Linked DNA regions of Mus musculus. The protein of the gene in region 2 interacts with the protein of the main gene of each other region in a pairwise test. Links are inferred from orthologs where the notes say so. Each region holds a gene or a part of one and is shown on either strand. Other genes may lie near its edges.

What was found. The genes of interacting proteins can lie anywhere in the genome.
Region 1: the proteins of Kctd6 (region 2) and Ctnnd1 interact in binary tests that used the Homo sapiens proteins (3 or more experiments, as listed by UniProt). The two-hybrid records come from large-scale screens. The link is inferred for Mus musculus from reciprocal best matches to the Homo sapiens genes KCTD6 and CTNND1.

What each region holds. Positions count from the first base shown.
Region 1 is NC_000068.7:84,616,238-84,619,755, forward strand, and holds part of Ctnnd1 (catenin delta-1), read right to left. Parts: intron 707-3,518; coding exon 243-706; intron 1-242. UniProt on the Homo sapiens protein: Key regulator of cell-cell adhesion that associates with and regulates the cell adhesion properties of both C-, E- and N-cadherins, being critical for their surface stability.
Region 2 is NC_000080.6:8,212,789-8,216,890, reverse strand, and holds the start of Kctd6 (BTB/POZ domain-containing protein KCTD6), read right to left. Parts: upstream 2,811-4,102; 5' UTR 2,549-2,810; intron 2,390-2,548; exon of another isoform or gene 783-2,389; intron 777-782; exon of another isoform or gene 1-776. UniProt on the Homo sapiens protein: Probable substrate-specific adapter of a BCR (BTB-CUL3-RBX1) E3 ubiquitin-protein ligase complex mediating the ubiquitination and subsequent proteasomal degradation of target proteins.

The sequences.
Region 1 (3,518 bases), on a different chromosome or scaffold from region 2:
GGCCAGGCATGGTAGTGTATGCTTTTTATCACAGAATTTGGGAGGCCGAAGCAGGTAGATTACTTCAAGTTCAAGTCCAACCTGCTCAACATAGTGAGTTCTAGGCCAGCCAGAGCTACACAGTGAGACCCTGACTCAAAAAGAATTAATTATTCAATAAATTAATTAAAAGTTAAGAGTCTAGAAAGTTCTAGATCCATACCTGTCTATAGATTAACAGTGACCTCTAACCTGGCACTCACCAGTAATCACTTCAGTCAGGTCCATATCACGAGCCTTTCGGAGCAATCGGACCAGAGCAGGAACACCATCACAGTTTTTTATGGCGATCTTGTTATCTTGGTCACGTCCAAAAGAGATATTCTTGAGAGCTCCACAGGCTCCGAGGTGCACTTCCTTTTTGGGATGGTCTAACAATCCTACCAATATCGGGATACCCTTGAGCTTCCGCACGTCAGTCTTCACCTTGTCATTGCGGTAGCATAAGTGCTGCAGGTATGCAGCTGCATTGGACTTAACAGCATCCAAGCGGAAGCCTAACATGGCAATCACCTCTGGCAGCTCAGGCTGTCTCCAGTTTGAAGGTGGGGGCATTCCCTTTCGCAAACTATCCAAGCTTGCTAAACTGCCCCGCTCATGCTGAGCTAAAGGAGCCCAATAGTACTGATCAGGCGGCACCTCTTCACCAATCATGTCTTCATAGCTCCTGCAATTTTGAAAGAACAAAGAACCAAGCAGTTAAATCTGGCTTCATAGACATTCCTATTACCAATCATCTTCAAGGTAGGATCACAGCTCTACAGAGATCATGTGTCTCCTCTGTATGGTCAATTTTTAATAATTTTGTGAGCAAGTGCAAGTACTCTCAATGTCCCTCGACATTATTATTATTATTTTTTTTTGAGACAGAGTTTCTTCCCAAATCTGAAGCTTGCTGATAAACTAGTCTGACTGTCCTGCAGGACCCAAGGATCCTCTTATCTCTGCCACCACAGAGCTTAGCTTGTTATGTAGGTACTGGAGCTCAAATCCTGGTCCTCATGTTGTGCAAAAAGCATTTCACCAACTGAACTCTCTCCCTGGGTCCAATTTTAATAACTTAAAAGTAACCTGTGGCCGGGTGTGGTGGCGCACGCCTTTAATCCCAGCACTTGGGAGGCAGAGGCAGGCGGATTTCTGAGTTCGAGGCCAGCCTGGGCTAAAAAGTGAGTTCCAGGATAGCCAGGGCTACACAGAGAAACCCTGTCTCAAAAAACCAATGAATGAATGAATGAATGAATGAATGAATAAATAAATAAATAAATAAATTTTAAAAAGTAACCTGTGAAGTTTGCTGATTGAGAAAGACAAGTATGTGGAACGTTCATCACAAAGAGAACACACAAGGAATCCGCACACAGGAAAGAGCTAGTGGAACAAAACTATTAAGCTCGCCCTATTTTGGAAATTGAAGAGGCACTGATCAAGAAAAACAGAGGACTTCTGGCTATATTGTTGAGGAGTTAGCTTTAGTACTACTGAGGCATAAACTTGAACACTAGCTGTCACAGTTCATCCCAGGGCCTCACGTGCTATTCAGTCAGACAGGTATGTTCCAAGAAGAGTTCCATCCTTCAACTTCTACATTTCCATGTCTGCCAAATGGCACCTATACACCAACATATATTGGAATGTCCCAGCTCTTGGATCAGAAGAAGAAACTGAAAGATGTCAGATGAGAAGCAACACTTCCTGTTTCAGTACCATCAATACCCACTAGAGGGTGAGCCTGTCACACTGTTATTTATAAGTACAAAGGAAGAACCCTATTATCTATGAGCTCACCTCACTCACCACCAACCCAACCCCCCCCCCCCCCCCCCGGGCTCCCACTGGGATAGGGGACTCTATTGTGTAGGACTCTCCAAATAAGACTTGCTTGTTCCATAAAACCACTCCCACAGTCACCAAACATTGAAAATTAGCCTACCTAACAGGTATCAACACTGATCATTAAACAATAAAAAACTCAGTAGAACAAATCATTTCATTAAAAAATAAATAGACTTGGCAGTAGTGGCACATGGCTTTAATCTCAGTAGTTGGGAGACAAAGGCAGGGCAAATCTCTATGAGTTCAAGGCCAGCCTGGTCTACAGAGAAAGCTCCAGGACAGCCCTGGTCTTGAAAAACCAAGGGAAGTAGGGGGTTGATAGTAAAGGCACCTTTAAACTTAAAATGTCATTTAAACAAAATAAAGTAAGTTGTTTTGTTTTAAAAGCAGATTGCTAAACACTATATGAAAAAATATTTCCTTTTAATGAGAAAACAGGATACATGTTTTCAAGAAAACCCCAAGAAACACCAAACTGTCCATGAGAGAATGGTGTTTTAGGCTGTATGCTGAGCATATTTTACTTTTCTTGTTTAAGACAAGCAACTATAAAAATAATTGCCACTGCCAGATTTTGTTTCAGTCACTCAAGGAAGTCTATCTTTATACTTCCTTCTTTCATAGGCAGTAGATCAAGATTCTTTCACAAATAACAAAACTGCACAAATGACCCAATAACTTGCTTAAGGCTCTATAGATAATGGCAGAGGCAAACTAAAACCAGGGTTTTCAAGTTCAGTGCTTTTGCCACTAATCACTGCCTTGCTATGAAAGTTTGACCTTGCACTATTCTTGAAGGCCGAAACAGGAAGCAGAATTCTTCTAGTCAAGAATCTTGCTAGTCAAGCAGGATTCCAAACTCAATGTCACCCTGGAATAAACCCAAGAACCAAGCCCCAAACCCGCTCTATGTGACTGGCACTTCAAAGGACAGCAGGGAACAGTCTGGTCATCCACACCCACCTGTGTCTAATCTCTCTTGGCTATTGAGGAAGTCAGAGCAAGCAGACTTCAGCCCCACTCCTTGGGCAGACTCTTCTAATGATAGCTGCTATCTATCTACCCTAGCTAGCTTACACCAGCTAAGATCTGGTGCCCCTTTAGGAATAAAAGGTGAGTCACATGGGAGTTGAATTTGCTAACCACGCCATCTGAAGAGTGTCAGTGACTCAGGCTTAGATAATAGGGCCTCTACTCCTGTCCCAGACTAATTCAGTTTATGGTTAGCCAATACCACCTAATATACATTTGGAAAGTGCCAAGACCTTTGCTTTGGAAGGTCATGAACCTACTTACAAAGACTGAGAACAGCTGCCAGGGCACCCTCACTATCAAGATAACTATAAGCCTTCCTTTATTTCTTAACTTGGAAAATATAGACCCTGATTTTAAAGTAATGTTTGCAGCCCAAGACCAAACATGTTTTTTTGTGCACACCCATAAGTAAGAGTTTTTAAAATAACCTTTTAAAAATATGAAATCCCGACAAGAGACATGACAAAGGCACTAATGAACAGCACACAAAGCCTAAAATGGGTCCTTTAAAAAAGGTCTACCAGCCAGAGCTAAATAGTGATACCCTGTCTCAACAATAACAAGAATAAAGAAAGGGAAGGAAGAAAGAAAGGGAGTGAGGACCAATCAAT
Region 2 (4,102 bases):
ACGCTAACAATTCATTTCCCTTTCATCTTCTCTCCCATCCGGCACAACCTCCTCCAGTGGAGGGCTTAATGAGAACAAGCCAGGCGACAGAAGGCCTCCAAGGGGGCATCAAGCAGGCCAAGGTGAAATGTTTCCTCATAAGATTCCTTTAAGTGACTTTCCCTTACGAAAGATCTTTCTTAGAGTCATGGCTACAACCAACGACTATAAAGTTCAAAGAAAGGCTTTCTGACTTGTAAAATCGGTTTACCTGAAAATACCTGACCTTTGATTCAAAAAAAAAAAAAAATTATGGTCCTAAAGACTATCATGCTTGCTTGAACTTCAAAGGTCATTGTAACTAATGTGTAAAATCTGATAGTATGTTAGCAGGTAGTTAAGAAAAACATATTCTGAAGAATTTCTAGAAGCCTGAAAAGAAGTTACTAATTTACTGACCCTAGCAAATCTGAAGAATGCACACTCCAGGAAGTTAACAACTTAACCTGTGAGAACCCTCCTTACCACAGCAAAGCTACAGTGGGGGTTATGATAAGACAGCACAAACATTCTAGACTTACTTCTGCTATTGAGTAAGACGCTCCAGAGCAAAAGTCCTCCTCCCCTGTAACAGTCTATATGCCGTAATGCTAACCTCGGATTAGAAAATGTAATGATACAACTGTAGTCACTGCCTTCCCACGCTTTCTGGGTAGCCCTTCCAAGTGCTTTTCTACTGAAACCTTTGTGTCTGCCATCCCAAAATGAAGACCGGTAAATTTTCTCTCTCCACCTATACTTACCTTCCAAGCTGCCTTTGTACTGAGTTTCTCTGTTCTTGGGAACGTGGGAGTTTGAAAGTGAAATACTTTTTATAGTAATTGGTTCAGTGGCATCTCCTGGCGTCTTCGGAGTTAACATCCACATACAGGCCAGCACAAGTAGCGAGCGCACAAGGATAATGGGATTATAAAGCTAAATTACCACTAACTAAACCCCTCTCTCAACCTCGTGGGCTAGAAGAAAGGAAATGTAGGCAAAAAGGGAGAAAGTCCTACAAGAAATTATGAATCTTCTGACAGTATCAAACCAGAAGAATATATACTCTCCAGCTTAAGTGCTGTCAGAGTCACAAATCATAAAATTCTACTTTCCCTCAGTTTCCACCAAAATGGGTATTATGACCTTCCCAAAAGTAACCACACCGTTTAAACACAATGGAGGTAAAACTGGCCGACAGGGCAGTGAGGAGTGGCGCTCTGGATTCACGTGCAGCATGCCAGCAGAGGGCTGTGAGAACCTGAGTAGACCGCCCTTTACTACTCGCAGCATCACCAAAATTTAAATAGGTAAGTCAGACACGGTGGGCGAACATGCAGGTTAGGACCAATCTGTGTTCCCACTCTGTCCCGTCCCTGGCCCTCCTTTCCCGGAGATCCCACCGCAGTTGCCGTGAGAAAAACTAAAGGTAAAATGATGTCCAGCGTTCGCAGAGACAAACAGACACGTGAGCTCTCGGGACTTCTAGAAAGCATGACTCAGGGTTGTCTCAAGATAAAGCAGAAGACACACATACGTGTTCCGTTTAAAATAGACCCCAACTATTAAAATCCAGGATGCGACGATGGATCATAGGAGTGACCATAAGACTGCTTTCCACGCTATTGCTTCAGCTAAAATACACTTTAAAAATTTTCAAATTCTATGGCCATCTTTCTACCTACGGTATTACAAAAAACTAAGAATCCGTGTGGGCTCCTGGTTTTCATCCAAAGGGTGATTCTCCCACCCTACCTACTTAGATCTTTACTCTTTTGAAACACTTCTGGCTTTGGGCCTGTAATACCCCACCATTATTCCCATACTAGAATATCTGCAACAGCGAAAAAGATGAGCCTGCCAAGGGGGGTACATTGGAGCAGGTTGTTTGGGCTATCCCAGACATTCTTAGCTAAACCAGGTCACATCGGTCTATTTGTCTGCATCACGAAATCCTGAAACCAGGTTTATCAACTTGCTGTATGTACTGGTGTACAGAACAGAAACATGACAACTTCAGCAGAATATCCAAACAGGATCTCAGTCACGTTTCGTTTCCCCGTCCCACCCCCAGACACAGCCTCCGCTGCCATCGCCCAGCAGGTGCTGCAGGGGCTCCCCACGACCTCGCCAAGGATCACCTCTTAACACCCAGCACTAAATCGCCGTGACATCCCAAAATTCCGGTAAAAAGCTGCAATTTGTGCACAAAACCCAAAAAGCAGAGCTTTAAACTAGGGCAGTGGCGGCTAATAAACACCACTCCCCAAAACACCAACCCTTTGCCCCGCAGAGCCCGCTGGTCCCTACTCCGCGGTCTCCCGCAAGCCAAGCCCGGCCGGCCACGCGCACCGAGCCCCGAACCCGAGCCGGAGCCCAAAGCCCGAGGCGGCCGCGCGTCCCCGATTTCCCCGCCCAGGCCCCGCCGCGGGCTCGTGCCAGCCCGGGGACGCGCGGCCGCCACCCGCCGTTCTCCTCAGCCCGACTTCCCGCAGCCCCGGCCCGCAGGCCCCGCTCGCGCCCCACTCACTGCACGAGCGCGGAGGCGACCCGGCCGGGAGACGCCGGCGGCCCGAGAGCGCGAGCGCGGGGACGAGCGAGCCCGCGCCCCGCGGCGGCAGCGGCGGCGGTGGCGGCGGCGGCGGCGGCGGCGGCAGAGGGGACGAGTGAGCCGGAGCCCGGAGTTGCGGCTCCAGCTGCCCGGCGCGGGCGGCGCCTTCTCAGCAGAGTCGCGGCGCCGAGAACGCGGACGCCCCCTATCGGCGGCGCGGGGCGAAGGCCGGGAAGCCGGATCGCCGCGGGCACTCTGGGCGCTGCCGGGGCGGCGTGGTCAGGCGGGCTCTGCAGCAGTCCCGAAGCCCCGCCTCCGTCCCGTTCCTATCCCCGCCCCGCCCAGGACTCCCGCGCGGAGCTCCGCCCAGGCCACGCCCCTAACTCCCCCTCCGCTTTCAGCCTCTCCTCCTGGCCGCCAGCAGTCTCTTCCCTGCTTGCCCAGGACTCCTTCTCCGCAACTGTTTCTCCTCAGCTGTTTTCACTAAGTCGATAGACCTCATCGCATGCAGGGCTTAGAGAGAAGAGCAGCCACCCAGACCGAGGCGCGTCTCAAGACTCAAAAAAGCAGCCAGTAGACACACACAAGACAAGTTCGAATCCTGGTGAGAGCGGTCCAATAAGAAGGCTGCCTTGGCCGGGCTTGGTGGCATACGCCAGAACTCCGGAGGCAGAGGCAGGTGGATTTCTGAGTTCGAGGCCAGCCTGGTCTACAAAGTGAGTTCCAGGACAGCCAAGGCTACACAGAGAAACCCTGTCTTGAAAAAACAACAACAAAAAAAAGAAGGCTGCCTTGGAGAATAAGGGAAGATGTGACGATCTGATATATATAAAATATTAGTATACATTTAATGTTATTAATATTGATGTAATTATATTATATTAATATATACATAATAATGTAGTTAATATTATTAATGTATTAATATATAAGACTCCTGGCCTTATATATTAAGGCAGGCCATTCTGTAAAGTAATGGCTTAGAGGGACCACCGATCCAGCCTTTTAGGCAGAGAAGAGCAGCCAGTTAGAAGGGCAGAGCTAACTAACGTCATCCTGTGTAATACCTCTGAGGATCTTAGTCTGGATGGGACTGGCAAGGGTAATGTCCCTTCAGGAAGGACATCAAGGCTGCAGGGCTAATTGGATTCCATGCATAGACAAGATGCAAAAGCCACCACTTCTAGCTAGCCAGATCTCAATCCACTTCTACATGGGTGAAAAGCCACTGGCCTTAGAAACTCACCTGGGCCAGGCATAGTAAAAGTAGTGCACATCCTTAATGCCAGCACTTAGAGGCAGTGGCATGTGGGTCTCTTGTGAGCTCTAGGTTAGCCTGGCCCACATAGCTAGTCTCTAGGACAGATGAGGCTACATAACGAGACCCTTTCTCAAAAGAACAAAACAGAAACTTACCTGGTTTACACATCTGCATGTTTGTGAGGTGGTTCTGAAATCTAGTTTTTATATGTATGATCATCATCTAATATTCTATTTTTTCTCCAAAAATCAAATTGATAGGTTAAATAAGCA